4 linked regions of the Pelodiscus sinensis genome follow. The protein of the gene in region 4 interacts with the protein of the main gene of each other region in a pairwise test. Links are inferred from orthologs where the notes say so. Each region holds a gene or a part of one and is shown on either strand. Other genes may lie near its edges. The genes, in order: VDR, RARA, ESR2 and SRC.

Region 1 (7,313 bases), on a different chromosome or scaffold from region 4:
GTGATGAGGCAACTTAAATTGAAAATGATGAAAGCACAGATTGTACAGTCTACTGTAGCTCCCTGTACACAAGATTTGGGTGTAGTGCCCTAGCCAGCCAAAATTGTATGCTCTCTAGTCATGATTAAAACACACTGCTCAAGTCTCTAGTGCATTTGGTTAAAGTCATTCAGCTCTGAGCAATCAGAACTCTTAACTCTCTCATAACAAGATTAGCCTGAACTTTGGTGCATTTCAAGTTTGCGTACATATTTCAGAAAAACCGTCCTATCTGAATGAGAAAGTCTGCCTCATAGCATGAGCACTTTAAACTCACAGCAAAAACTTCAACTCAAAGCTAGTTTATAAACGCCCAGTATTGTGGAGGAAAGAGGCTTTAAAAGGGGGGGGGGGAGGGGAGTAAAATGACTAAGCTTTACATAATTACTCTATGTCTGATGGGTTAAAGGTTCTTTAGTGACTGGACTGGTTTAAAAGCAGTTATTAAAGCCTTTGTCCCATCCTGCCAGATACTAAGTGCTCTTGCCAGACAGCCTACTGACCCAGCTCTGACCTACTGTACTGCAGATGCAAGAGAGGAGTGCCTGTGTTTGCAGACTCCATACTAAAGCTGAACGCAGAACCAAGTTCCCTTCAGAAGGAAAGACATATGCTCTGGAACATGCTACAGCCTCTTATACTGAGCCCAGAAAGGAACATGAGTCACTGGTCTCATCTAATGTGGGAGGAGAGCAAGTCATGAAAGGAAACAAGCTTTAGAGGGGTTTTCATGGAAACTGGCTTCTATGGAACCTTACTTGACTTTCGGAAGTGCCAGACGCCAGCATTATGCTGTTACTACATCAGCCCTCCAAAGGCTAGAAAGCCACACTGCAGAAGACACCAGTCTTCCTTTTATACCTCGCATCTTTGCCCCAAGCAGAAGCTTCTCCTCCTAACCCAGCATGCTCATTCCCCCTTCCCAAAAAAGAAAATGATCCCTCCAGTTACTCTATCCTGTCAAAGTGGGGTCCAGAGATGCCTTAACCTTTCACCCATGTCCTAGACCCAACCCGGGGGGCACAGTTGAGGAGAAGGTTATGCACAAGGGAGCTTATCCCTCACAAAAGAGGGAAAAAAACCTTGGCAATTATATTGCAGTAAGGCAAATTTTTTATCATTAGGAATATAGTGAAACAAGTCACTACAAGTGTAGAGTCTATTGGAACTGGAGGCATTCTATACTGTGCCTCACGAAGTCTTAACCGGCACATTCATTCAATTGGCTCAGACGAAATAACTTGTGGATTGTGAGCCGACTGGAAAACTATAAACAAAATAGCTATGACAAGTAGCAAAGTCACACACAGAGAGGTACTGAGAAAGCAGCCTTAAGACTTGTTTTAACATGCTCATTCGTTATCCATAATATTTTGGTCATTCAGTATCCAGATGACTTAGTGACCAAAATATTATGGACAGCCACATAATAATCAAACACCAAACACAGCAGGTATCTATCTTGCTGCCAGGTAGCCGAGGGGTCTGGTTTTTCACAACACTTGTACAACTTGCAATCCCCAAAACATCTCATTAAACTGATCTGACATTCTTAGATTAAGTGGGAATGGGCTGCAGATCCCGCCACTGGGAATGAAAAAACAGAGACAGCAGAGAGATGGGCAGAAATTGTATAGAGATTCGACTTAAAACCCCCCAACACAGCTAATGTATCGGGGTGGAGAGGCTCGAAATCGGCTCTTCACAGAAGCACAAAGCCCAGGGGTTGACAGCAAGGCAGTTTGCATTGCTATGTGGCTGCAAGGTAAAAGTTTAAGGCACCAGGAAGCGAGTCCTTCTATACAACCACAGGAGGAATCCGGCATTTAATCCGGGCCCCGGGCCCCAGAGAGACATGGACAAAGCAACAGGAGCGCACGACAAGCCCCGACAGAAAGAGGAATAAGGGCGCCAGTCGCTACAGCCAGTCCCTGGACAGCACAGGAGCGCTCCGGCCCGGGGCTGGACGGGAACTGGGGGGGGTTGGACATGGGGAAGGGGGGAATCAACCCCCCAGTCCTCGCCCCAGCCCGCACCCGCGCTGGGCAGGGCTAACGCCAGGGGCCCCCCCCGACAACCCCTCACTCTGCCCCGAGAAAGGGAGCACCCCCCTTCCCCTCCGGGGGGGCCCCTCAGAGCCCGGCAGCGCCCCCCCCCTTCCCCTCCGGGGGGGCCCCTCAGAGCCCGGCAGCGCCCCCCCCCTTCCCCTCCGGGGGGGCCCCTCAGAGCCCGGCAGCGCCCCCCCTTCCCCTCCGGGGGGGGCGCCCCTCAGAGCCCGGCAGCGCCCCCCCCATTCCCCTCCGGGGGGGGCGCCCCTCAGAGCCCGGCAGCGCCCCCCCCATTCCCCTCCGGGGGGGGCGCCCCTCAGAGCCCGGCAGCGCCCCCCCCATTCCCCTCCGGGGGGGCGCCCCTCAGAGCCCGGCAGCGCCCCCCCCCATTCCCCTCCGGGGGGGCGCCCCTCAGAGCCCGGCAGCGCCCCCCCCCATTCCCCTCCGGGGGGGCGCCCCTCAGAGCCCGGCAGCGCCCCCCCCATTCCCCTCCGGGGGGGGCGCCCCTCAGAGCCCGGCAGCGCCCCCCCCATTCCCCTCCGGGGGGGGCGCCCCTCAGAGCCCGGCAGCGCCCCCCCCCATTCCCCTCCGGGGGGGCGCCCCTCAGAGCCCGGCAGCGCCCCCCCCATTCCCCTCCGGGGGGGCGCCCCTCAGAGCCCGGCAGCGCCCCCCCCATTCCCCTCCGGGGGGGCGCCCCTCAGAGCCCGGCAGCGCCCCCCCCCGTTCCCCTCCGGGGGGGGGCGCCCCTCAGAGCCCGGCAGCGCCCCCCCCCGTTCCCCTCCGGGGGGGGGCGCCCCTCAGAGCCCGGCAGCGCCCCGGGGGGGGGGAAGCTGAGCGCCCCCGGAGACCAGCCCGGTACCTGCACGTGCTACGAGCGCCCCCTGCTCCCGCCGGCCCCCCCCCGGCCCCGCGCCCGCCTTTTGACGGGAAGCGACCGGCGCCCCGCCCCCACCCGGAGCCGGGAACAGCCCCGCCCCTCGCCCCGCCCCCACCCGGAGCCGGGAACAGCCCCGCCCCTCGCCCCGCCCCCACCCGGAGCCGGGAAAAGCCCCGCCCCCTGCCCCGCCCTCACCCGGAGCCGGGAAAAGCCCCGCCCCCTGCCCCGCTTGTCCTCTGCCGCCTCACTTCGTCCCTCTTCGGACTGCCCCCCCCAGCTTGCCCCTCCTCCCCCCCAGCCCCTTCCCTCAGACCCCCAACCTGTCCCCCTCCCCTCAGCCCCCAACCTGTCCCCCTCCCCTCAGCCCCCTGCCTGCCCCCTCCCCCCAGCCCCTTCCCTCAGACCCCCAACCTGTCCCCCTCCCCTCAGCCCCCCAGCCTGCCCCCTCCCCTCAGACTCCCTGCCACCCCAGCCTCTGCCAGCCCTGCACAGCCGGGAAAGCCTGGCCGTTCTCTGCTGCATTCCCAGCCAGCAGCCGCTTGTCTCGGTGGCCCAGCGTGGCAGGTGCCCTGGGGACGGGCATGCTGGAGAGGCAGCTCCCAACAGCGCACTTGTCGGAGTGAGCCGTGGAGACGCGCAGGGGTTTGGGAACTCCGAACAGCCGCCGTGGAAATGGCACCAGCTCCTGGCCACAAGGTCCGTGCTGGGGCCCCAGCACTGAGGAGTTTTGCACTTGATTCCACTCTAGATCAGGGTGGTTCTGTCTCGGTCCAGTGTCCGAGCGGCAGAGCTTTTCCGCTCCCCCGCGGCTGCCCCGGCTGGCTCAGCCCTGCGTCTGTTGGCACCAGTGCCCAAGAATGGGAATGAAAGGAAACAATACACAAAATTCCTGCCCTGGGCAGCTCAGCAACCACCAGCTAGACTCCTGCTAGAGGCATGGCTGTTCTGCAGCCCCCTCCCACCTCCAGACCTCACACCCTTTTACACCAGGTGCAATCCGGCCATTCCGAGTGCCCTGGGCACCACGCAGGGCAGCAGAAAAACTGGCCCAGCAACTTCATGAATTTCCTTGCTGAGACTCTGCAGAACCCCAACATGCCTTCCTGTGCTAATGGGCGCTCTCATGAAGCTTCCTTCAAAGGCAGGGCCTTGGGGGGTTGCAGCAGTCTCCAAATCCTGCCTGTATCTGTTTAAATACAGTAAGGTGGTTCCAGCATTTAATTGCCTCTGCGGCTTGCTGTCTGCAGGGATGGCTCGTTTTGATGGATCTGGATTTGCAGTAGCTCTGTCTGGCCTGTCGATGGGGACAAAAGGGGCCAATTGTCCCTGGGCCCAGTGGACTTAAGGGGGTCCGGGGCTGCACCAGTCCTTTTAAATACCAGCAGCGGCTGCAGGGAGTCCTGCACAGGGCAGGAGGGGGAGTCTACACTGCACCGTAACTCGAAATAAGCGACGCGATTTGAGTTACGCAAATTGTGTATCTTCTCTCGAGGCTATTTTGAAGTAGCTTATTTCATCATTTGTCGCTGTCTACGCAGCACCAAATTTCGAAATACAGCGCTATTCCGAAGCACCCCTTACTCCTCGTAGAACGAGGTTTGCAGGGACGTCGGAATAGTGAGCCTGAAATAACGGGCTTGCTGTGAAGACGCGGGATAGCAATTTTGGGATACTCCGGTATCCTGAAATAGTGTTGCAGTGTAGACGGACCTGAGGAGGCTTGGAGCTTCCGGCTGCTTTCAAACTGCCGCGGCGAGTGAAATGGAGGCTGCGGTCGGCTTGTGCATGCACCGTCCTGTCACCGCTGTGCTGTCCCTGCTCCAGCTCCACATAGGGGTGACATTTTCCTTTTTAAAAACAGGGGCACCCGTTGCTCCCTGGAAGGGAGGTATTGATTGCTGGTTTGAGATCTCCAACAGAGATCTGCCTGCTGTTTGTGACCCCCTCTGTTCCAGGACTGGGGTACATAGTGTGAATCAACAAGCTACCATGAGAAAATACCCAGGCTCTGCTTCGCTGATTTCTCCTCCACTGAGAAACAGTCATGAAGGGCCCAAGATCTGCTACCATGTGGCAGAGAGATGACAGTCCTTCCGTCTTATCTGAGGACTTTTCTGACATCTTCCAGAGCCTTAGGAAAATGACCTCCTCTCACTCCAGTGCAGCGACCCAGCACAAAGCTTATGCAATACTTAAGTACCAGTTTAAGTCCCCAAAACATCCTGGTTTACAACACCTGAGACTTTGGACCCAGTATGCATCTGCAGGCAGATTTTCTGTCCTTTTTATTGGCCTTCTGAATTTGGCGCCTTTATGGCATATGAACTCGATATTTTCTCTGTAACCATGAGGGATAGAGACTTACTTCCCCCCTGCTAATGAAAGTCTCGTGTAATCACCAGACTCCATGAGCCGGGACTTCAGGAAACACGTAATATCACAAGATGTGGAAACAACAGGGACTATCACACACATCTGTAAAGTGTTATTTATGGATTTGTAGATTTCAAATTCCTTAATGTGTTTCCTCGTTTTCATTCTTCAGACATGTCTCTGCAAAAGCACCTGTGATTGGCAAGTTTTCAACCAAGGTTTGACATTGTTCTGAATGATTTGTTCAAAGAATTAGTGTGGAGAAGTTCTGTGGTGTGGTTGGTGAAAGAGGGCAGACTGGATGATCACAGTGGTCCCATCTGGCTTTGGAATCTTTGCATTTATGAGTTGGAGCTCCTTGTATAAAATTGGGAGGGGATTTGCAGGAAACTCCATTTAAATGTTGCCAGAATTTAAGCTGGCCAAATAATGGATTTTCAGTTTGCCGGGAATTCAGTTTGGGGGGAGGGAGTTCAGACTGAATTGAAAACCTTTTTTTAAAAAATTTTCAGCCAATCAAAAAGTCAGAAAAAAGTTTTTTAATTTATATTTTTCTTACATTTTTTTTAAATTAAAGGAAATTTCTAAATGAAAAGTCTTTTCAACTGTAAAGATCAAAACTTTTTGTTTTCAAAATATGAAAACAATAACCTTTGGAATTTTGGGGGTGAGGGTTGGGGATTTTTTCAAAACGAACAATGATGCGAAAATGGTACAAATTTGCAAAATGTTTTGGTACTGCCGAATCTGAATTTTTTACTGAAAAAAATGTGGTTGAAAAATTTGGGCTGGCTGAATGTCTCTCACATCTTTCGGCCCCTGATCCCCAGGAGAAATTGGTTTTATGGCCCTGACTGCCTGTTGGGAAAACAAACCTACATCAGGAGAGAAAGTGGAGGCGTCTAACACATCAGCACAAGAAGAAAAAAATCACCCCTATGAACCTATGAACCATAAACAGTAAGTTCAACAGCCTTAATTTGCCTTGGAAAAATGTTTTGCTAAACGTATCTAAATTGGTTTAATGGTGCCGATCAGGAAAATAAATCATAAAGGCAATCAAAATGTGCAGAACTGTGCAGTCAGCTGGGGTGAACACTGGTTATCATTGTGCAAGACAGACTTTTGGGGGCACAAGCAACTTTGCACAGCCTCAGTGTGGGGAAATACAGCCAGGCAGATTCTCCCTTGCCCAGAGTGCTGTGCAAAATGCTACTGACTCCAAGTGGTGTCGATCTGCAGCCACCCTGCACTAGTGTCTCTGACTCCAAACGTTCAGAAATTGCACGTCAAGCCTCTCCCAAACATAGCACAATTGGCTCACAAATCAGAAAACTTATAAGTAAATTAAGAAATTGGAGATTCTTTTATTTGCTTACTAGGCTTAGAGGTTTTAGAGATCGCCTATGTTGGCCTTTGTCTCCGGACATACGAGCTAGAAATGTACTTCCCCATTTTCAGTGAGAGGCGAGATACTCACATAATCCCATGACTCCAGGAGCAGGGGCTTAATGCAAAACACCGAATACCACAAGAGGATAACAGCAGAATGACTACACGAGAGGCGAACTATGGAGAAAAGGGTATTTATTGCCCAGATCCCCTTGACTTTCCTGGGGGCCGTGTCTACACTCCAGAGCCTCTGCGGGCCTAGCCCTCTGGTGTAGCTGCAGCATCTGCTAACGTATCCCAAGGATAATGTGAGGCAAGGTGACGTCAGAGCTCTTCCGCTGGCATAGTTGTGTCTATGCCGAGGGTTTGGCTGCACTGGTATATCAGCGAGGGGGGGTGAATTTTTTACACTCCCACCTGACATAGCAAATCTTCCTGGTGCAGTGCAGGCCTGGGATTGGGCTTTGTACGCCTGGCGAAGCAGAGCCTGGCTGCCTGGCTTTGGTTTAGGGGTGAATGAAATCCTCCGCAGCGGTGCATTGACTGTGGAGAGACCACTGTGCCCTGCAGAGTGAGTGCAGCCG
Region 2 (7,524 bases), on a different chromosome or scaffold from region 4:
ACCATGCAGCGAGTCCAGGGCAGAGCTGGGAATAGAACCCAGGCATCCTGACTCCCAGCTCCCACCCCCCGCTTTAACAGGCCCCACCCCCCAGCCCCCACAAATCTAATCGAGTCCTCCTGCCCCCACCCTGACTGCTGCAGATCGTACCAGAGGGTTGAGGGGGAAGAAAGAGAAGCAGGGGTTGCAGGTCGGGACCGAGGGGCACCAGGACTGGGTATGCTGGGACAGAGCCAGGGGGCACTTTCAGGAGACCCCCCTTGCAGGCTGTTGGCAGGTTTGTGCTTCCAGACCAGGCCCCTATGCTGCCATGGGGAGGGGTGGCAGCCAGGCAGATCGACCCTGCCAGACAGATGGCACTCCCTCTAGCAGCCTCGCCAAGGATCTCAAAGCCGTTCTCCCAATTGCCCATTAAACAGCTGGGGAAACTGAGGCACAGAAAGGGGCAAAAAGAGAACCCCCAGCTCACACAAGGAGCCACTGGCTGAAGAGTCCTGGCTCCCAGCCCCCTCTAACCACTAGACCCCCACTGCCCTCCTCCCCTGAAACTGGCTGGCATCCTCATTCCCAGCTCTGATCAAATTAAAGTCTTGGCAGAAGATGCTCCTGCCCCACCCCGAAAACTGATCAAACCCCCCCTTCGTACTTAGCCCAGCCAGGAGGGGGCTGTTGAGCTGTGGCCAGCACCCCCACCCCAGTCCTGTCAGCCCATGGAGGGTGCTAGCCCCCAGATGGCTGGGTAGGGTCCCCCGCATTGCGTGCTACCCCCAGGCTCCCCAGCCAGCCAGCCCTGCCGCAGGAGGGAGAGATGGGGTCGGAGCCTTGGGTGGGCGAGAAGCATTGGCCGGTGCCAGCCCTGAGCCCCCCTTGGCGCACCGGGCGGCTGTGGCACGCCTCCCCGTCCCCCTGCACGCTCTAATTGATGGAAATGCAGGACTCACCCATCTGCATGACCTACATTCGCTCGGCAGCCTGCGGAGCCGCGAGATAATTACACGGGAGCGGGGGGGGGGGGGGGGAGATCCCACAACTGACAGCCAGGGAGCTGGGAGGCTGCACGTCAAGCACAGCAACCTCCCCCCACCAAATGGGGGGGACCTCCAGGTGCTCCCCAGCCGCACCCAGTGCTGCACCCCGACCCGAGGCCTGGTCCCTGGGGCGTGAGACGTCTGTCCTCAGGTGGGCATCACAGGGCAGAGATGGCAGCAGGCACCCAGCCCCCCACCTGCCTCAGCTGGCTGCCCAGCCCAGGCCTCTCTGAGACCCAGCCCCAGGTGCGCGCACAGCAGCTGGCAACTCCTGGCAGGGCACCCAGGGCACAGATCCCTTCAGAGCAGGTGCTAGCGGATCCCCAGTCCTGTCGGCAGGCCGGGGGGCTGCGGCGGGTAGACATGGGCCAGAGAAACACACCGGTGGCTGCTGGACAGGATGCAACTGGAGTCAGGACTCCTGGGCTGTTTCCAGTCCCTTCAGGGACTGGCTGCGTAATCTGAGGCAAGTCCACGCTGCCCCCTGCCTCAGTTTCCCCATGCGGAACACTGAAGCAATGCCCCCTCTCTTTGTAAAACCTGGCAGGGGACAAACTCATCCGCCCCTTGCCAAGGGCTTGGGCCACAAGCAGACCCCCAGCCCTGGGAGCAGCAGCCATGCAACTAGCGAACAGTCAGTCAGTCTCGTTCCCTGGCCAGACGTCCTCTGACACAGACCAGAGCCTGCGGCCCGACTCCCCCCCGCTGGGCGTCTGTGCCGGGGACCCCGAAAACTGGCCCTGGCCACGTCTCACCAGCCCCCTTCTACTTGCTCCATGGTCAGAGCCCAGCCGCCGCCATCGGAATCTGCCAGCTTCCCGGCCCAGCGCTGGATTCCACAACACCCGACAGCGAGCAAGGCACGGAGCTGCTCCCTGCTGCACACCAGGCCTGCGCGGGCACCACCCCGGCAGGATCGGGGCCGGCCTGGCTCCCCGGCCGGGGGCAGCGCACTGAGGCCTTGGCACACAGATCGGGGCAGTTTTCTTCCAGGCGGGTTTGATCCCTTTTCTTGCCCAGAAAAACCTATTTGGGCTCTTTGAACGAATGGGAAAATTCCCCCCCCCCCCCCCCGTAGAACTACCCACTTCCCAGGTCAAGCCTTCCAGATTTTGCAGCAAACATCCTCCATTAAACTGGGGAAACTGAGGCACAGAGAGAAACCCCCCTCCCCCAGCTCACACAAGGAGTCACTGGCCGAAATGCAGCCACCTCTGGGAGTGGGGGCAGGCGGGTCTTTACACGCATTGGCGAGACTGATGCAAGTGGCCCCAGCGCTGGGCTCAGCTCGGAGCAGGAAGCTCAGCTGCCCAAACAGGGCATGGGGGGGCGGGGGGGGGGCAGATCCAGCTGTGACTAACATCCCTCGGCTCCAGGGCTCTGTCCCTGCCTTTCATGTCTCCCCCGCAGGGCTGGGCACAGGCCTGGAGAGACCCAGGACTTGGGGAAAGTTCCCAGCAGCTCGTGCTCCGGCTCGGCAGCCAGGCCCCGCTCTGCCCGGGCCCTCGGCGGGTCCGCTCCCCCCCGAAGCCCTTCCCCATGGGGAGCCAAGGCCGCCTCCCAGCCCGGCCGCCGGCTCGCCCCAGCCTCGCCCACTTCCCCTTCCCCGCGGCTGCACTTTGCAACTCGCTGCACGCCAGGGAGTCTGCACCGCGCCGGGGGGGCGGGGGGGGCAGGGACAAGGCCCCCCCAGGGACAAACCCAGCCTGGGGGGGGCACTGTCCGAACCCCCCCGTGCACGGCTCAGGGGCGCCGCAGCAGCTGCCCCAGCGCGGCCAGGCTGGGGGTGCCCCGGGGGGCGCAGCAGGGCGCCCCGCCCGCGCGGATCTGGTGGCGCATTTGCACGGGAGGGGGCAGGGGCCGCTCTTACCTGGCGGAGCGCGGGGCCGGGCCGGGGGCCGGGGGAAGCCCTGCAAAGCGGCAGCCAGGATTCCCCTGCTGCCGGGGGAGGGTGAGCACCGTCTGCAGCTGCAACAGGAGCCCGGCCGCGCCCGGTCCTAGCGCCCGCCCGGCTCCGCGCCGCCCTAGCACAGCGGGGGCCTTGCGGCCAAGCGCGCTCGGTGCACGCGGACCGGGGGGGGGGGGGGCTCCCGTGCAGTCCTGGGCCCCACCCGGCTCGGGGCCTTTCGGGTGCTAAAGAAGCCAAACCAACCCCCCCCTTCTTCCCCTGTTTCCAGCCCGTTCCCGCCCCCTCTCCGCCCGTGGGGTGGCTCCTGGGGGCCCAGCATGTTCCCAAGCTGGCTGCCCCAAGTGTGGGGGGGCAGGGGGGAGGTGGGTTTTACTGGCACTTCAGCGGGTTTCATGCCACAACTACTCGCAGGGAAGTTTCCCTAAAACGCTTCTGCTCCGAGCCAGCCCCCGGCCGCCCCACCCTGGACCCTGCGCGGCAGGGTGCTTGGGAGGGACGGAGCAAAGGCCTCCCCTTGGGCTGCCGGCCCGGTGCTTTCCCTCACTTCACTGGCCCGGCAATTGTCCTGGAGCACCGCGGATGCTGCTGCCAGGAATCAAACCCGCCGGAAATGACAGGACAGCCCAAAGGGTGGTGAGAATCCCCTGGAGCTGCAGGCCACCCATCCCGGCTTGGGGCCGTGGCCCTGCTCAGACAAAGGCATCACTGGGAGGGGGGGCGGTTCTCGCTCCTTCCGCTGCCCAAAGCGCGCTGCCAACCACGCCACCGGTCCCGCAAACGGCTGCAGGCCAGCTCCCGGTGCCCAGGCTGCTAAGCTGCACAGCTCCACCCTAAGCACAAGGATCTTGGGCCAGCTGCTGTACTGCAGCCACCTCTGGGGCGGAACAGAGTCAGCGTGCGGCCGCCAGGCGCGCAGGAAGGGTGCGTGGGACTCAGAGTGTCATGACCCAAATGGGACTGGGCCCCAGGCCTCAGCAGTAACACCCTGACTCCTGGGACTCTCCAGACGCAACCGGACAGGTTGAACCGGTTCAGGGGCATTGTTAGCAGGATTCCAACCCTGGCCAAAGGGCAGCAGGTAGCACAGGCTGTGCCCGCACCCTGCGAGGGGCCTGGGTTCTAGTCCCACTGGAGAGGGGTGCTCTGTGGCCAGGCCGGAAGGGGGCACCCCTCGACACTCCCTGGCACCCAGCCTGGTGTCACGCTGGAGTGCCTGTCCCCCAGCGGCATTGCCAAGCAGGGCCGGTGCCTAACAAGCAGGGATGGGGGGTGGAAGAGGCCTAGAGGAGATGGTGGGGCCCCCTCATTAGAAATCGCTGATGAGGGTTTTGTGGGAAATGGCTGAGAGATCAAAGCAGCCTCGCCTGATTCAGACCCAATTAGCGCCTGTAAAACACAAAGGGAGGTCTAGTGCCAGGGCGCAGCCCGCTGCTGTGTGAAGCTAGGCCCAGGGCCCTGCGTAGGCACCGCAGATCTGGCCTTTGCCTACAGCCAGCCATTGTCTGGGAGAAAAGGGGCCAGCAGCTCTGTGCTCCAGGCCAAGGCGGGACCAAGTCCAACCACAGGGCCAGACTCGCTGCTTTTCTAGAGCATCCCTCCTGTGGCAGGGCCAACCCGCACTGCCCTGCCCAGCCAGAGCCTCCCCTCTCCACGAGCCAGCGGCAGTACAGGGGCTATGCCACTGTGAGGTAGTGGGGGTAACTTGCTGGGGCTGGGGCGACCTCTGCTGTCTGTAGCAAGACCCAGCAGGGAAGGGGGGAGTCATTATGCAAAGGTGGCTCCAAACTGGTCTGACCAGCCACCCCCCATGGGGAGAAACAAAGGAAGGTGGATGCTGCCCTGGCTGGGGGCAGGGCTGGAGGAGAGGTGGTTAGTTCCTGTCTGGAAAGCAGGGGAGAAGGAGCTGGGGAGGGGGCTGGGACTCCCCCATCTCAAGGGGGGCACTGAGGCCTCTTAGCCCCAGTTCCTGTAACCAGATGACATCTGTGCTGTGCTGTATCCTGGAGAAGCAATAAACTACCTCCATTCTACTGGCTGGGGGAGTCTGTTCGTGCCATTTGGGGGTGCAGGAGACGGGGGACCCCAGCACACCGTCACAGCCACATAGCAGGACAGCTCAGATTCTGGCTGGCAGAGGGATGTGAGCCCCCTGAGGACAATTGATTCAAATGGCTGGGACCACTTTGCACCCAGACAGGCAGCAGCGGGGCCTGCTGAGAGGCATGACTGAGGCTGGGCCCTAGATCCAGTCTGGATTCCTGCCTCTGCACTTTGCCAGCCCAAGGCAGGGGGCAAGCAGCAGGTGAGCAGCCCCGTATTCCTCCCCAGACAGTCTCTGCCTCCCAGTTCCTTTCCCCTGAGTAGCTTCAAACCCAGCACAGGGCCTTGCAGCCTGGCCCCTGGACTGTGGGGCCAGCCCCTATGAGTGCCAGGCCTCTGCCCTTCCCTGGCCTTCCCTGGGGAGAGCGAGCAAGCAAAGAGGCAGCTGTGTTGGTGGTAGTGGAGGCGTGGCGTCTTGCTCCCAGGGGCAGCTGACAGGTGCAGGCCTGCTCTGGAAGAGCCTAGCTCTAGCCTTGAAGCATAACAGCAGCAAAGTCCTTGCTCAAGGGGATTGCAGCCTGCCTGTTGAAGGCCAGATCATACTGGGCTTTAATCGCCATGCAAAGGGTTTGATCCTGGCCCCATTCCCTCCATGAGGCCAACACAGATCTGATGGCACCTGGGCACCACCCCCTGTGCAGCCTGACGGGAACTATCGGAGGTGGTAAGGCGCTGTTGCCTCTTCTGAGAGCAGTCATGCCCCAGAGTCCCGCAAGCGCCCTTCCCGCTAGGGGAAAGCGCGCTGGAGCCTTCTCTAGCCCTGGGTAGCAACCAGCCGTGACAGCAGAGGATGCGGAGCGAGTCTCTGATCCTACTGGGAGGCTGCAGCAGGGGTGGTTAAAAATAAATCTGCTTTCAGCTTGCCAGCGCAGCAAAGCAGCCCTGGGCGCTGTGGAGGGCAAGGAAATAGCAGCCCACAAGGCTGTATCCGTGATAGAGGCTCTGGCTGACCCCTTCTCCCTGCCAGCATCTTGGAAAATGTGCTAATAGTTCAGCCCGGCTGGCACTGGACCCAGCCCAGGCGGTAGCTGGAGGAACAACTCTCTCAAGGGTTCAGCAGCCAGCAAAATGGAATTTAAATCAAGGCTCCCATCTGTTCTTGAGCCTGCCTCGTATTAGGTCACAGCTCATCTTCCCCAGCAGCCCATTAACTCTTTGACCACTGGCTTTGTGCACAGGGGTGACAGCTAGGTAGGCGCCAGCCCCACAAGAGAAAGTAGCTGTCTGTATGCCCCTCCCCCCCAGCAATCTGAGCGGGGAGTACAGCAGAGCCAGGTGAACAGGGCTCCTGCATTTACTCAACTTCTGGGCCCCTGCCCTCTCTGCCTTCACCTGGGACAGCGAAGGCTAATGCCTAGGCTAAGTCAGCCGTGCCACGCATGCGCTGTAGCACGTGGCTAGATGAGTTCCCATAGCCAGGAAGCTGGGTTGCTTGTGCAGCTGCACAGATAGCAGGCTTTAGAGACGTTATTTAGAGATTATTCCACATGCCGCATTGGCCACGCAAGGGGCAGGAACTCACCCCTCTCGGTGGTGGGTGTGGAGAATCCGAGTTCACCCCCTGGCTTGTGACAACCTGCCGTTATAAATCAATGATGGAGATTCCATAACCTCCCTAGGCAATTTATTCCAGGGCTTAACCTCTCTGCCAGGTAGGAAAAACTTCCTAATGTCCGAACTCAACCCCCCTTGCACGATTTTAAGCCCACCCCTTGTAGTACCTTTTAGATATTTGAACGTTGTTACATGAGCTGCAGAGAATGTAGTCATGTCTCTGCAGCAGGGGAAGATAGGCGGAAGGACCTGTCAAGCTGGTCAGAGAGCACCACACGTCAGAGAGAGAGAGAGGACTTTAATATCTATTTACATCATAGGTTCCCAACCTGTAAATACAGCTGAGTCTGCCTCGCAGTGGAGGTATGTCCTTGCACTTGCCTTTCGGAACAGACCTCCTGCCGTCCAAGGGCAGCTCTAACCTAGGAGCCATGGGAGGAGAGAGAAGTTAAGGACATAACAGATGCCAAGCATTCACTGCATTGGCCCACATCTTAGTCTTTGCTACATTCTCACAGAAGGGTCATTAAAACTGATCACACTTGGTGCAGACCCCCAAGTCGTTTTCAACCCGGAAAGGCAACTTTTTCATTTAAAAATAGATTGAAGAAGGGGTGGCCCTGGATCCCCACACTGGCTGGCCTCACACACGCAAGGCGGCTTCCTCCAACTTCCGCAAACTTGGTCCCTGCAAGAGCCGCAGGGTTCACGGTGCTACAGGAGCGCCCCCTGCTGGAGGAAGCTTGCTTCAAGGGCAGCTGCATCCTCATCTCTCAAGAGGGTTACTCCTCCCGGATAAAAAGCAGGGTAGAATCAAAGAGTAGAATCCAATTGAAACCCAAAGCAGAGGGAGGTGAGGAACCGCAGGCCAGGCGGCATCATAGGGCAGATGTCCTGTTCAGTTCTAGCGTGCAGGAACGGGGAGAGGAAGCC
Region 3 (7,289 bases), on a different chromosome or scaffold from region 4:
CACCAGGTCTCTGAGGGGCCGAGGGAGGGAGGCTCACCAATTCCATGTCCCTCCATTCTACGAAGAGCTGAGGGTTGACCTCACCCATTTCCCCCCTCCAGATCTCAGAAGGGCTGCGAGTGTCACTAGTTCCCACCCCACCCTACCCCCGACTCTCTGAGTGGCTGGGTGGAGGCCTCACTGGTCCCTTCTGGCTCTCCAAGGTGCTGAGGAGTGGTTTCACCAGTCCTCTCCAGCTCTCTGAGGAGCTGACTCTCACCAGCTTCCCTACCCTGGCACCGTGAAGGGTTATGGGGCAGGCCTCACCCATTGCCCCCCTGGCTCTGAGAGAATCTTGAGGGGCCTCATCAATTTCTGCTCCCTGGCTCTCTGAAGCACTGGGGCCTCACTTGTTTCCCGCAGCTCTCAGAAGGACAGGGAGAGCCTCACCTGATTTCCCCCTCTTCCGCCCCTCCCCCCGTGTTGTCCAAGGGCTGAGGGGGAGGTGTGCCCACCCCCCAGCTCTCTGAGGTAGTCTCACTCATTTCCCCCGCCCAGCTCTTGGAAGGGATGGGGGCTCACCAGTTCCCTGCTCCCCAGCTCTGAGGGGCAGGGGAGTCTTACCCGTTCTCCCCCATGGCTCTTCAAAGGGCTGAGAGGGGTTTCCTCAGTTCCCCACAGCTCTCTGGGGTGTTGTGGGGAGCCTCACCATCCACACACACCCTCGCACCCCACCGTCAGCTCTCAGAATGGCTGAGGAGCCCTCATTGGTTCCCTCTCCCAGCTCTCTGAAGGATTGAAAGGCCTCAACTAGTTCCACTCGCCTCTCCAAGAGGCTTAGGGGGGACTTAAGCCCCCCGGTCTCTGAAGGGCTGAGAGAAGGCCTCACTGGTTTCCCTCCTCCCAGCCCGCTCTGATGAGCTGAGAGTGGGCTGCATCCATACCCCCCTCTAGCTTTCCGAAGGGCTGAAGTGGGACCTTACTAATTTCCCTCTCCTTGGCTCTCTGAAGAGCTGAGGCACCAGTCCCCCTCCTCCCGTACACTGAAGCCCTAATGGGGAACCTCACTGGTTCCCCAGGCTCTCAAACAGGCTGAGGAGAGGGGCCTCACAGGTCCACCATCACCACTCTCTACATGGGTCAGGGAGGGGGCCCTTACCAGCTTCCCTCTCCTGGCTCTCCAAGGGGAGGGGTGGGGGAGCCTCACTGCCTTTTCCCTCCCCAGCTCTCTCAAGTACTGGTTTCCTCCTCTCTGCTTCTCAAACATGCTGACAGGGGGCTTTACCAGTTCCCTCCAGCTCTCCAAATGGTTGAGGGGGGACTCACTAGTCTTCCCCCTCTCCAGCTCTCTGAAGGGCTAAGGGGGGGGGGGCCCACTTGTCCCCCGCCAGTGCTCCGAGACGAGGCCTCACCAGTTCCATGCCCATGCATCTAGAGCAAGCACAGACTAGTCTGTGGGGACTGAGGTGCTTGTGCTGAGGAGCCACCCAATCTCCCTTCCCCAGCGCACAGACCCAGGCCTGCCTGGAGCAGGCTCCCTGGAGAGAGAGGGTATCAGTACGACAACTACCACAGTGGCCTTCACCATCCCTGCCCTGCCACTGCTTGAGTTGCCCCAGAGGCACTTGCTCCTGGCAGCCTCCCATCCCCTGAGAGTTCCACTCCTCAGTGCTGAGGAAGATTCAAATCCCATGGGTACCACAGTCCTATCCCTTGATTGGGGCTGGCTATGTGTTGATTTCCTGGGGTGCCATGAGGTCGTCCAGCGTCTTCGCTCAGGGCCACGTGGCCCAGCATGTCCTGCCCTTAGCCGCCTTGCCAGTTCTTGCCTGCACCACTGGGGAGTCACGCACAGAGCTCACAATGAGTGCTCTGCACCCTGCCAGCAGCACACGCACTGCTGCCAGAGTCCCCTTAAGGCAGTGGTCCCCAATGCAGTGCCTGCAGGTGCCCGCCCGGGTATTTATGTGTGCCCGCCAAGTGCCCGGACGCACGGCGCATGGGCGACCCCACCCCCAGGCACGCGGCGGGTGCACGGCCCTGCCTCCGGCGCGCGGTGCGTGCACGGCCCCGCCCCCGGGCGCGCGGCGCGTGCACCGCCCGGCACCCCAAAAGGTTGGGGACCACTGCCTTAGGGTGTCACAGTGCTTCCCCTGTGCCACAGCCAGTCAGTCTCAGAAGCAGGGCTCAGGCATAATTCCCCACTCTGCCCACCGCGAGGCTCACAAGCAGCACACCCACCCTTACCCCACCTCCCACAGCCAAAGGCCTACGTTCAGGTCTGATGAGGTAATGAGCCCCTTACAGCTCTACCTTCCTCTGCAGTAGCCAAGTGTGAATCTGGGCCCTGAGATGCAGCTAGTGCATGAGTAGACAAAATACGGCCCGTGGCTCAGAGGAGTACTCAGGCAGGCTGCCTGCCTGCCATGGCCCTAAAAGCAGCCAGTTACTGCTGGTCTCTCTCTTCATGCCTCTTGGGGACAGTGAGACAGCGGATTTCCGTGCATTGCCCATGCCCACAAGCACTGTCCCCATAGTTCCCATTGGCTGATTTCCAGCCAATGAGAGCTATGAGGACAGTGTTGGGGGGAAGGAGCAGTGCTCAGAGGTCCACTGCCTCTCTTTCCTCAAGGGGCACACAGAAACATGGCAACAGCAGCTTCTGGGGTAGCCTGAGTACCCCACTGTACCGTGGGACAGGAGCTGCCTGTGCAAAGTGCCTCCTGGCCATAGCCTGTGCCACACCCTAACCCCTTACCCCAGATCAGAGTGCCCCTTCTGCACCCAAACACCCTCCCAGAACCCAGATGCCTTAACCTTTCCTGCACCCCAGCACTGTGCACCAGCCCCAAGCTCCCTCCTGCACTCAAACTCCTCCCTACACGTCACATTATCTCCCCTGCACCCCAGTGGCGTCCCAGAGCTCCTTCTTACACCCAAACTCAAATAGTAGAAATGTGTGGCCCATGATGACTTACCAAAGCTCGTGGAGTGGCCCCCTGCAAAAACTATTGCCCACCCTGGAGCTAGAGTGTCAGACTGCTGCAAAAGAAAACTGCTGCTAATAAACCACAGCTCCCTATTTAACAATGAGCACCTGGCAGGAAATGGTGTGGCATGTGTGCATTTCTGTAAGAGCCTTTTACAACACTACAGCTGCAATACTACAGGCACCATATATCCTAAATAACTATTAAGAGTAGCATTAAAATACATCTCTTTGTGAACTGTATTTTAAAAGATCAGCATTTATAATCTCAGCTGGGAACCAAACCTATAATTCTGGAGATAGTAACTACAAACCTTGAGTCCCATATGACTGCTGTTTGCATTAAGGACTTATTGTACTAAATAACTAGTTGGAATAAAGACACACCAGGTAAGCAACCAGAAACACAAGCAACGAGAAATATAAGGTTACATGAGAGAAAAAGAGGTATCATTCTTCTAATATAACAATTTCTTTAATATAAATTAGAAGACTGCCTTGAAATGAATATATTTTACTTATAAATACTGTAGAAGATTTAAAATTGAAGTTATATATGCATGGAATGGCATAATTATAACAGCATTTACAGCTGCCGAAGCCAGCATTTACCAGCTATCTAAGAATGCTGAGACAATGAAGTGAGAAGAGACGTAACACTGGACTGTATGTTCCCCTTGTTAATAAAGTACACGATGGAGAATATGTTCTAAATTAATGTCAATAAAGATATAATGCAAGCAAGTCCCAGAAACATTGAGAACAGTATAGCCAATGGGGGTACAGCTGCTCTGAACTAACATGATGTCCTCCATTAAAAAAGGGACTTCTAATGATTCTCAGTTCCTCACCAACTTTTTACAGTAAAAGAAACTCAAAAGAAGGGAAGAAGAAGGGGTCAGTGTGGATCTGCAGAAACTAGGATTTTGAGAACCCTAGTTAACGGCAAATACTCTTCCATTCTCTATTACGAAATTGCTTCTGCAGTTGTTCACTTAAGGCCATCACCTATTAAAGCACAACTGCAGGGAGTAATCTCACTTAGCCATACTGAATGCTTGCTCTCCCCAAATAGGTAACAAAACCAAATCTAGGGCTATATCACACAGCTTTCCTCTTCCGCAAAAGCCTATGCAAATGAAGTGTGGATTAGCATATTGTCATGCTTCATTTGCATAGATAATTAGGAGCCGTTTTTGCACAAGGTTTTTGTGCAAGAGCCATTCTTCCTGAAAAAATGAGGAAGAACGGCTCTTGTACAAGAGGGGATTTTTGCGCAAAAAGGCACTGTGTAGATAGTGCCTTTTTGTGCAAAAACCTCTTGCACAAAAACGGCTCCTAATTAATTATGCAAATGAAGCATGGCAATATGCTAATCCACACTTCATTTGCATAGACTTTTGCAGAAGAGGGAAGCTGTGTAGACATAGCCGGGGGTGTGGAGAGAAGAGGAAGGAACGGGACTAGAGCTGAAAGGGAAGAGGTGGAGCCAGAACCTCTTCCAGAAAGCTACTGTCTGGTGCAGCATCCCAACTGACTGGGAGAGTGCCTGGCTACAGCAACATCAGGCTGCCACCCTTGCTCAGTTTGTGGGGACAGTGGCCAAGCAAGCCAGAGGCCACTCCTTTACCCCCCGCTCTCCTCCTCCTCAACTCACTGAGCCACTGGTTCCAAAAGCCAACCTTGGGTGGGAGGCAGCCCCCTGCTACTACACCCAGGAGAGCAGCCAAACATGCTGTGGGAAGCCAGCGTAGGGGACTGAGCCCCCACCCCGGACAACATGGGGTGGGGTGATGAGGAGAGAGCAGGGGCCCTGGGCTGGAGTGGAGAAGTGTTGTGTGGGGAGGGCATGGGCCCCCTCTCCTTTAGCTGGCGTCCCCCCCCCCCATATCATCTGTTGATCTAAATTGAATGCAACTGCAGCACCTGCTGTGTGAATTGGTGAAGGCTGAAAATATTCTGGGAAAGGAACCCACCAGTTCAATATTTTACTGAGGCTACGTCTAGACTACAAGCCTCTTTCGAAAGAGAGCGTCTAGACTACAAACAGATTTTTTGGAAAAGCGAGTCTAGAGGCTCTCTTTCAAAAAAGTACAGTTTGCATTAAATAGCGCCTTTTTTCGAAAGAGTACTTTTGAAAAAAGGCATATTCCTCATAAAATGAGGTTTACTGCAATCGGAAAAACTGCCACGTTCTTTCTATTTACTTTCGAAAGAACGCAGCTGCAGTCTAGACGCAGGTGCAGGTTGGTTTTTTTTGTTTGTTTGTTTTCAAAAAAAGGGTACTTTTTTCTAAAAAACCCTGTAGTCTAGACACACCAGAGTCTGGATTATACCATGTCACAATGAGGCTGTGAAGTCCAGGGTGGGCCTGGGAATTTAGATAAATTACAGAGGCCTCCTACCAAGTTGGCAAAGACCTTTTGACAGTGTACCTGAGCAAGAGAAGACAGGTGATTCCTTAACTCATGAACCATTTTCTGCAGCTCCACAATATGGCGTTAAAGGAGAAAGGTAAATCCATTCCAGAAATCCAGGATAGTCCTAATAAAAGTCAAATCCTGAATAGACTAGAAAATAGATACAATTTCATTTATGCTTAAATCCAGAGCCCAAATGAAATAATAGGTGCCCTAGAGAGCATGAGTAATCCAAGAGTCAATCATCTAGGAAATTAAAAATGTATAGCTCCTGATGTCAAAGATGGGCATAATACCACTGCTAAACATTTAATAAAAATTGTGCTACCAAAGCACAAGACTTACTATTTAAAATGCTTGGCAATGGTCAATACTGCTTTAAACGCCAGGACCTTCAAATCTGGGCACGTGAATCGTTGAGTGGGAATCTATAGAGATAATTGTATGACTGTTGCGAAATATGTCCTGCCATGCTCACTGCTCAGATAGACCTTGAATATTTTCTTTTGTAGGCATCACGGAAGACACAAGTTTATTAATGTATATTATTAAGTGTTCTTCACAGAGCAACAAAAATGTTCTTTTTAGTTATGTTTTTGTAAGCATCTGGACGAGAGAGTTTGTGTGGGAAGGGAGCAGAGAGTGGAGGTATGAAGTTACTGCCTATTTGCAGTAGTCATGGATAAAATAATTTGGTGTGGGAATGGGTGTGACCAAGTGAATGTCTGTCTTCATCAATAGCATTTCTATAAATGTCAATGATTGTACTCAATCCAAGGTTGCCAAATAGGTCTCTTTTTTACTGTACAACTAATGTGCTTAAATAAAACTGCCCTACTGAGCAAGAAGGGATGTTTCAATCTTATTCAGACTAGAAAAGGAAAGGTCAAGATACAGATAATACTGCTATTGTGAGAACAAGAGGAAAGAGAAGTGAATTACAAAGCTGCCTGAAGTGACTGAATGATTTTCAAAGTATCTATAACAATTGAAGCAGTTGAGTTTTGTTCTTTGATCAATACAAACACTTAAAACAACTTGGCCTTTAAGTGGTCTGTTTTTAAAAATGTTGGACTAAAAAGAAACAACCGTTTTCACTGCTGTAATTGGTAAAAAGTTTAGTTACATAAGACAAGTCTTGCACAGATTTTAGTAATTTGCTGTCTTCCCTGTATGCATGATATTGCATTTACCTGCAAGTTTGTCAAGAACACCCATCATAAGCCAGATCACAAATCATAGTCAAGCCAGTAGGGCCATCTGCAGCAGGATCTTAAACAAGACTGCTGCATTAAGAGTGGAGGCAGGGGCACCATTGGAGTGGGGCAGTTACCCCTCCCTTTGCTTCATACTACTTGCTAATCTTAGTTGCTAACACCGGTAGTGCTCAGCAAATGTAGGTATTTCACTGAATGAACCAAGTGTAAGGGACCTGTTACCCCTTACTAAAACTCTGTGGGAGTTTTTTGGTTTGTCAGCTCCCAGTTTCAGAAGGGGAAAAGTTCATGAGACTGACAGACCCCAGAGACAATGGAAAGCAGCCAACACTCCAGCTCAGCCTGATTGACAGGTTGGACAGGCCAGTGAGGAAGGGGGGAGGCCAGGCCCCATCCTCCCTGTGAGCTGGGATTGTTCTGGCTCTCTCTGAGCAAACAGAGAGCTTAGCTACTGCCCAAGGAGTGCAAGCTGTGTGCAGAAGAAGTCCTGCAAAAACAGGGAGCTGAGAGACAGCCCAGGGAGAGCAAGCTGTGTGCTGAGGGGCAGTTTTTGCAGCAACAGAGCCAGACACACACAGCTCAAGGAGCGCAGACCCTGTGTTGAGCAGCAGACTGGCAGTGCTCAGAGAGCCAAAAGGAACAGAGAACCAACGCAAGAAGCTAGAGACTGGCCAAGCAGCACAG
Region 4 (7,202 bases):
AATGGCTTTCCAATACAGTATTTGAAAATAATTTAACACAAACAATACACTTTGGTTACTTCTATACCGAGAAAGTGGTAAGTGGTTTCCTCCAATGGCACTGACCACCGTGAACGCTGTGGTGTAGACAGGATGCAGACACCTAACCATCGTGTCCTCTCATTTTGCTCGCAGAGCAGCTTCAAGACATGCCCGCTTTCTGTCCATACTACAGTTTCCTCTCCTGCAAACACCGGGGTGAGTGTGTGAAGGGGGAGGAGGGGGGCACCAACAAACACCGAATGCTTTCTCCATGCAGACAAAGTTTTAGACAACTTGACAACCTGTGACAAGTGCTGTATTCCTGGTGTGGATCAGGTTTGTTATCACCACCACCCGCAGCAATTTATAAATGGCACAAAGAAGTCCTTCACCCACAACCAGCAGGGTTAAAACCATAGACACCTCAGCCTGGCCCCTACCCCCTACCCTGAAGCCTGGCATGATAGGGAGCATTCAGAAAGCTAGCACTTGCTGGCAGCAAACAGGCCTGGCCAAAAAGAAACCCTCAACCCCTCCAGGTGAGCATTGTGCCCCATAAACCAAGAGCAGCTACCTGGAAACCTTTACCAGGGAGGTGTTATAGTCAAGGATGACCTAAAATACCCTTAACAGTCTGTGGGATCACCCTGGTATTGAGCTGTTCTGTGGAACAGGTAAAATAGTTAGCCTTTGCCACCTCTTTTGGAGGAAAGACCGTATATACATGTTCACCCTCTCCCTCTCCTCCTTCCCCCACTCCCCCCACTGACCATCTGGGTTTTTTACAAACTATAGACTATTGGGTGGTTGTTCCTAGTCTATACGAATACAAAGAGACTGTGTGAGATAATTCTGGGTTCCAATGCAGCCTATTTCCTAAGGGCATTCAGTCACTACAGTAATGGCTGCAGGCCCAGAAACTAACAATATGGGCTTCTAAAGCCCTAGGTTTTATAAAAATGGAAACTGATTTAGGAGGGCTTCATATCTGTTGGTGCTTCAGTAAGTACCAGTGTTCCCTGTAAGCTGAGTGCTTGGGTGGCTGCCCAGGAGAGATCCAAATGCCACCCAGCTGATTAGTAGAGTGCCCCCAGCTATCCAAAGATAGTGTGTGTTTCTATTGGTGGTACACATCTGCACTTGGTACATAACAAAATTTATTCTGCCCACTGATGGAAAAAATTAGAGGAAACATTAGTAAATACTTATAGCAACAGAACCCCAACAAAGCTAGGGAGGTAAGTCATTGTGCAGGTACTCTGACATAAGAGAAGGGAAGGAGCAAGGGAATCAAGGGACAAGACAGCCATCTCATTCATTTTTTGTAGAAAGCCATATAGAAGTTTGCTGGCAAACACCACACAGTACCAGGAACATCCAGCAGAAGAGGCACCCTAAGCCTTCCTGGTGCCAAGATGTATTAAGCACATCCTGACTATCCCTGCCGCTGGGCTTACTCACACATCTCCCAGCAGGTTACAAATGAATGAATCAAGATCATAAAATTCTTAGTGTCTCAGAATGATCACAGAGCATGTGCACCACCCACGCCCCATGTTCCCAGGATAGCTAGGGAGTAAAACAACAACAAAAGCCCATTGAAGTTTGTCAGCTCAGACCCCAGGTGTTTGGCTTCAGAAGAACGAGGAAGGACTCTGTGTAGCTCAAAAGCTTGTCTCTTTCACCAACATTAGTTGTTCCAATGCAAAATATTACCTCAGCCTCTTTGTGTACCTAGAACTACAGTATTTTGCCTGACAGCTCCCGATTACTACAGATATGGCACAGATTCTAAGAGGCACAGTGTTACTTTTTTTTGTATCGATGTTCTATCGATATTCTGATCAGGCAGCAGAAGTTACAGAGCGGTTAATGAATCGTTTTCCAGTCTTTAAATCATAAACACTAAATAAAACAGGACCAGGTTGGGGAGGGAGGAAGAGGGAGGAGCAGCGATTCTCTTACACTGCACGACGTGATGTAAACACACAACCCCCCACAGAGCAGCTACGTCGTTGTTTTGTTTTAAATGAATATTTAACAAATAGTAAAAGGGAACTGGCTCAGAAGACATCAAAGCAGCGGAGTGATTAATATTTCATATTTTGGCCTACATATAGCTCCTCCCCCCCTCCTCGTTTCCCCGACTGGTTTGAATAAATGAACTATAGAAAGTCTTCGGCTAGACAGAGCTGCCCCACCGTTTCAGGCAGCCCCGCACAAGAGAAGAAAGTGCGGGGCTCGGAACAAGTCCCGCACCCCGAGCTCCCCCGCCGCCGCCTCGCCAGCCCTAGCAGACAATACCTTTAGCCCGGAGCTCCTCGGCTAATTCAGGCTGCGGCTCCGGGAGGCTCCCGGCTGCCACACGCAGGAGCAGCCGCTGCCGTCGGGCGGAGCAGTGTAAACCCTCCATTGGGGGCGACAGCCCCAGCAGGCACCCACCGCCCCCAGGCAGGGAGATGCCAAAGCGCCGGGGCAGCCCCCCGGGGCTGGTCGGTGCCCCCGAGCGTATCACCAGCCCCAGCGCGCCGGGCGGTCTCTTACCTTCCCTCCCCGCGGAAAAGCACCGGGGCCGGATGGCTCCTTCGGGCAGCTCCTTTCTCCCCGGCGGCTCGCAGCTCCCGCAGCTACACGCCTCGCCCGCAGCCCGGTGAGACGCCCTGGCCCAGCGGCAGGGGGCCGGACAGCTGCGAGGCGGACACGCGGCTCATGGCCGAGTCCCGGGCGTTCCCAGACACAAAACCCGGCTCCGGCTTTGTCTCTGGCGGGGGGCGGGGAGGAATTAACCCCTCGGCTGCTCGCTCCCCCAGCCCCTGCCCGGCTGCCGCGCTAGCGAATGGCTGGGGACTCGGAGCCGTGATGTCAGCAGCGGTGCACGCCCGCCTGCGGCGGAGACACCTTCTCCCCGCCGTGATTCATGCCGCTGGGTTGAGCATCGGGGCCAGGCAAGGCCGGCGCAGGATCGCCCCCTCCCGCCCTGCCTCCAGGTGCCTGGGCGGCGCCGGCCCGCCCCCTCCTCTCTGCTGCTCCCCGCGCCGCGAATGGGATCCTCGCTTCTTAGCGATTTGCCAGGGCTCCCCCTCCCCCAACGCCCCCCCAAAGGGGGAATATGGCAGCAAACCGGAAACAGATGAAGGGAAAAGAACCAGCCCCCCCCCCCCCCGTTTGAGATCCCCCCCCCCCAGTTTCTTTTTAATAAGGAAAAAGGGCTCCGGGCGCGCAGCCAGCTGGAAACTGGCGTAGTCCGGAGCGAAGCGCCGACGTTTGCAAGACAGGGCTGGACGTCGCTTCGCTCGACGCGGCTCCGGTACCCAGCCCCCGGGGCCGCTAGATGGGTGGCGGGGCTGGAGCTGCAGAGGCTGGAGGCGACGCATAGAGCAGCTGCCTCTGCTGGCCATCCCGAGCTGGAGGGAAATCCCGGGCTTGCTGCTGGCTTCCCGGGGCCCCCAGAGTGGAATTATTGTGGCTTGTTTATTGTGCGATCTAAGCAACCCGGAGACCCCGTCATGGAGCTGGGCAAAAGGACTGTTCCCTGCCCCAAAGAGCGTCCCATAATCTGGGCAGTGCCAGGCTAGGCAGGCAGGATTCCGGTGGGGTTGCCCATGGGCTTGCTCTAAGTAGCCTCCCAGAGCACAAATAAAAGCTGTGTTTAAAAAGAATCTAGTCTGTTTGCAGATGAGTCTCCACCACTCCCTAAGGTGTCTAAGGGCTCCCCAGTGATCACTCACTGAGCTAATCCTGTGTCCTAAAATGTGGGATATTCCTGGCCTTTTCCCCAGCACTCTTCCCCCTAGTACCTGAGCCCATCAGAAGCATTAATGAGAAGGCCTGGAATTCATACAACTCCTCAAACAAGGTTAGGACTAGAGACAATCCTTTGAAAGTTAAGGGTTTGTGATTTAAAGAGAGAAGACTGATGAGAGAGGGGAAATGAGACAGTGACTTTGTCCAAGGTCACACAGAAGAGCTGGGACTGGAACTCTTGACTTCCAGTGCTACTGATGTTTAGGGCCCTACCAGATTCAGGGATAGGAAAAACATGTCTGACTATGACTGTGTATGCTTTTATCCTATGCTATATAGATTTCACTGGGGGAGACCAGCAGTTCTCAAATTGTGGGTCTTAACCCAAAAGGAAGCCCCAGGGTGTGTATGTGCAAAGTTATTTTAGGGGGAATTGTTGTACAGATTGGACCTCCCTGGTTTGGCACCCCTGGGACCTGACTGGTCCACAATGAAGGATTTTGCCCCCCTGCTGCCACCCCTCTTACACTGTTCCCCCGGGCTTTCTGGCTCTCCCTGCAGCCCTGCTGAGCTGCATGCTGGGCTTCCCAGCTCTTCCACACCCAGTCCAGCTGGGCTGTCATTGCCACCCCCACCCACAGTGTGCCTGTCTTCTACATCCCCTCCCCCCGCAGTGGACCCAGATTCTTTGATCTTCCAGACCAAGGAAGTTGCCATACCAGAGAGTTCTGGTTTTTATAGAGGTGCAACCTGAATTGTCACCCAGACTTCTGAGCTGCCTTAGGGTTAGGGTGAAATTTTAGATTTAAATAGCTGAAATAACAAAATGTATTATTTTTAAAATCCTGTGACCATGAAATTGACCCCAAATAGACCATTCATTTGGTAGGGCCCTAATTATGTATTTACTAGTTCAAGATGCCTCTCCTGAGAGGGCCTCAGCTACCTGGTCCCCAAAAAGGTGCATGAGTCAGTGGAGGTTCTGCGTCAGTTTTTACATTTGTATTCCCAGTTGTATCTGTTCTTTTTCTCAGAAGCTCTATGGATAAATGGAGAACAAACTAGATGATGATATCCCATAAAAATGGAACCCGATTAATGGAAAAGGAAAGTGATTTTCATGTAATCTATTTTATTTTTATTTTTTTTGCATTGGGGTCATTTTTATTGTTTAACTCTGACACCCAAAAAAAAAACAGTTGGAAGAAAAACTATTTTGTTACTTACTCCAGCCCTTTCAGTTGCCTGAGAGAGATCTAAACCCATGTCTGAATCCTCCAAGAAAGGAGGGAAAACTTCTTAAGTTGATGCGCCTGATATTTCTAAAGTGAAAAAACCCCTCCCCTCTAGAAACTAGAACAGTCCTCTGCAACCTTTTTAAGCATGAGATCACTTTTTGAATTTAAGTGCAATCCAAGATCTACCTCAAACCCAAATACTCTTGTCCCTCCTCCTTTGTGCTCCTTCTCCAAGGCCCCACCCTTGCTCACTCCATCCTCCCTCCTACCCCGTCCTTCCTCACTTTCACCAGGCAGGGCAAGAGGGTTGGGGCACAGGTTCTGGTCTTGGGCTAAGGGATTTGGAGTGTGAGAGGGGCTCTGAGCTCAGCCTGGGACAGGGAGTTGGAATGCAGGAGGGGGTTCTGGGCTCAGGCTTTGTAAAGGAGTCTGGAGCCAAGGGGCTCAGGACTAGGGCAGGAGATTGGGGTGCAGGAGGGGGGTTCATGACTGGGGCAGGGGTTCAGAGCTGTCTCCAGCTGGGCACTGCTTACCTCGGGTGGCTCCTGGGTGGCGGTGCAGTGGGGCTAAGGCAGGCTCACCCCTGCCCTGGCCCTGCACCACTCCCAAAACAGCTAGCAAACTCCCTCCCAAGTCCTGTTGTGCCCCCTCTCTGCTCTTTGGAGATAGGATACAGGCTGGGAGAGGGGGCACCTTGACATCAGCGCCACTCTTCTCCCTCTCCTGACCTGCAAAGCAAGCAGGAGGCTCCCAGGGGTGGGGGAGGCAGTTCCAAGGCAAAGGGCAAGAGATATGCAGCAGTAGGGGGAGGAGTAGCTGAAGTGCCGGCACTTGACAGCCTCTTGGCCTAACCAGTCAGGATCACCTGTCAGAGGCTCCAAGATCTACCAGTAGATCCAGATCTACTGGTTGGTGACCACTGAACTAGAATCCAGAACCAAACAACCTGTCAGGCTTTCGTTACGCATCATAGAGAAGTGGAAAAGAATACCAGCCTTAATTGGATGTTGTTTTGCAGCTACCTTTAAGATAACAAGGGAATCTCTTCTAGACCCAACATGTTTGAAGCAGTAGTAATCACATATATCTGAGTGATATCTAAGATAGGATAATAAGTTTAATAGTCTGTAAGTCTCACTCTGTGTCTAATTCATTCTCTGTCCCCACTCACCTGGAATCAGGATTTAAAGAACTTGGAGCACTCATCCTATCCCAAGAGGCTATGGTCCATCACTACAAGGCTGAGCTATCCTTGGGAAGCCACGGGGGGAGGAGGGAAGGAATCATAAATTGCTCCATACCCAAATTCACAGGATTGAGTAAAAACTGAGACTGCATTCGCCTCTCCACCCACATGGCCACTTCCGGTCAAACTTTAGGAGCGTTGGTAAATCCCTGGTGGGAAAGACCCCTGCAGTCACTCAAACCAACTTCCTCTTGGCTCAGGAGAAATGAAGCCAGGGAGAAGCACTTAATAGATCAATATGAGGAAGCACAGGGCTGAATATACAGACAGAAGTGGAAATGAAATAGGGTTCCATCCACATAGCTCAGTAGTCAGTACCTTTTTCTCTTTTTCATGCACTGGGATCTCTCCAAAGAGGGACATTTTCCGGCATCCCACCTCAACCATTAATGGGCACTGATTTATAGATGCACATTTGGCCAGCAGAAGGTATCGGCAAGCCAAAATGTGGACACCTCAAACTATTATTTCCATGGACTCCGAGAAAGATTATTTAGATTGACAGAGGAAGAGTCCACGTTCCTCTAGTTCTAGACAGAAGAACCTGGAAGAACAGGTCAGGAGAGTGAGCTCTTTTCTGCTAACTTGTCCTTGTGACTCACTTCCAACCTGGACATACTGTTATGGATCTTGAGAGCTCTGAATACAAGAACTAACATCACTCTTACCGTATATACCTACTTCACTGAGCATATGTCTGCTGCATGAGTATCTATACAGAGATAACCCCTCCTTCACCTGTCTCAACAATCCTTCCCTGTCATATTATATCCAAGGAAGAAAATGGGCCCATTACTTAAGCCCCCAAACACCTGTAGCTTTTCTATGACCTATTAAATCACAGGCTGACAGCACGGACTGTCTGTACTTCTACAGCAAACAGCATCTCATGCCAGGAAATCCCATGGAACTCTGTGGTGGTTTGATTTTCAAACTCATGTTACTTCAGGCAA

Evidence for each region.
Region 1: the proteins of SRC (region 4) and VDR interact in a two-hybrid assay, tested with the Homo sapiens proteins (2 studies listed by BioGRID). The link is inferred for Pelodiscus sinensis from reciprocal best matches to the Homo sapiens genes SRC and VDR.
Region 2: the proteins of SRC (region 4) and RARA interact in a two-hybrid assay, tested with the Homo sapiens proteins (2 studies listed by BioGRID). The link is inferred for Pelodiscus sinensis from reciprocal best matches to the Homo sapiens genes SRC and RARA.
Region 3: the proteins of SRC (region 4) and ESR2 interact in a two-hybrid assay, tested with the Homo sapiens proteins (2 studies listed by BioGRID). The link is inferred for Pelodiscus sinensis from reciprocal best matches to the Homo sapiens genes SRC and ESR2.

What each region holds. Positions count from the first base shown.
Region 1 is NC_134729.1:79,107-86,419, reverse strand, and holds the start of VDR (vitamin D3 receptor), read right to left. Parts: upstream 3,051-7,313; 5' UTR 2,947-3,050; intron 1-2,946.
Region 2 is NC_134739.1:10,843,891-10,851,414, forward strand, and holds the start of RARA (retinoic acid receptor alpha), read right to left. Parts: upstream 3,004-7,524; 5' UTR 2,899-3,003; intron 1-2,898. UniProt on the Homo sapiens protein: Receptor for retinoic acid. Retinoic acid receptors bind as heterodimers to their target response elements in response to their ligands, all-trans or 9-cis retinoic acid, and regulate gene expression in various biological processes.
Region 3 is NC_134714.1:15,611,072-15,618,360, forward strand, and holds the start of ESR2 (estrogen receptor beta), read right to left. Parts: upstream 3,020-7,289; 5' UTR 2,958-3,019; intron 1-2,957.
Region 4 is NC_134728.1:24,429,223-24,436,424, forward strand, and holds the start of SRC (proto-oncogene tyrosine-protein kinase Src), read right to left. Parts: upstream 3,073-7,202; 5' UTR 2,566-3,072; intron 1-2,565. UniProt on the Homo sapiens protein: Non-receptor protein tyrosine kinase which is activated following engagement of many different classes of cellular receptors including immune response receptors, integrins and other adhesion receptors, receptor protein tyrosine kinases, G protein-coupled receptors as well as cytokine receptors.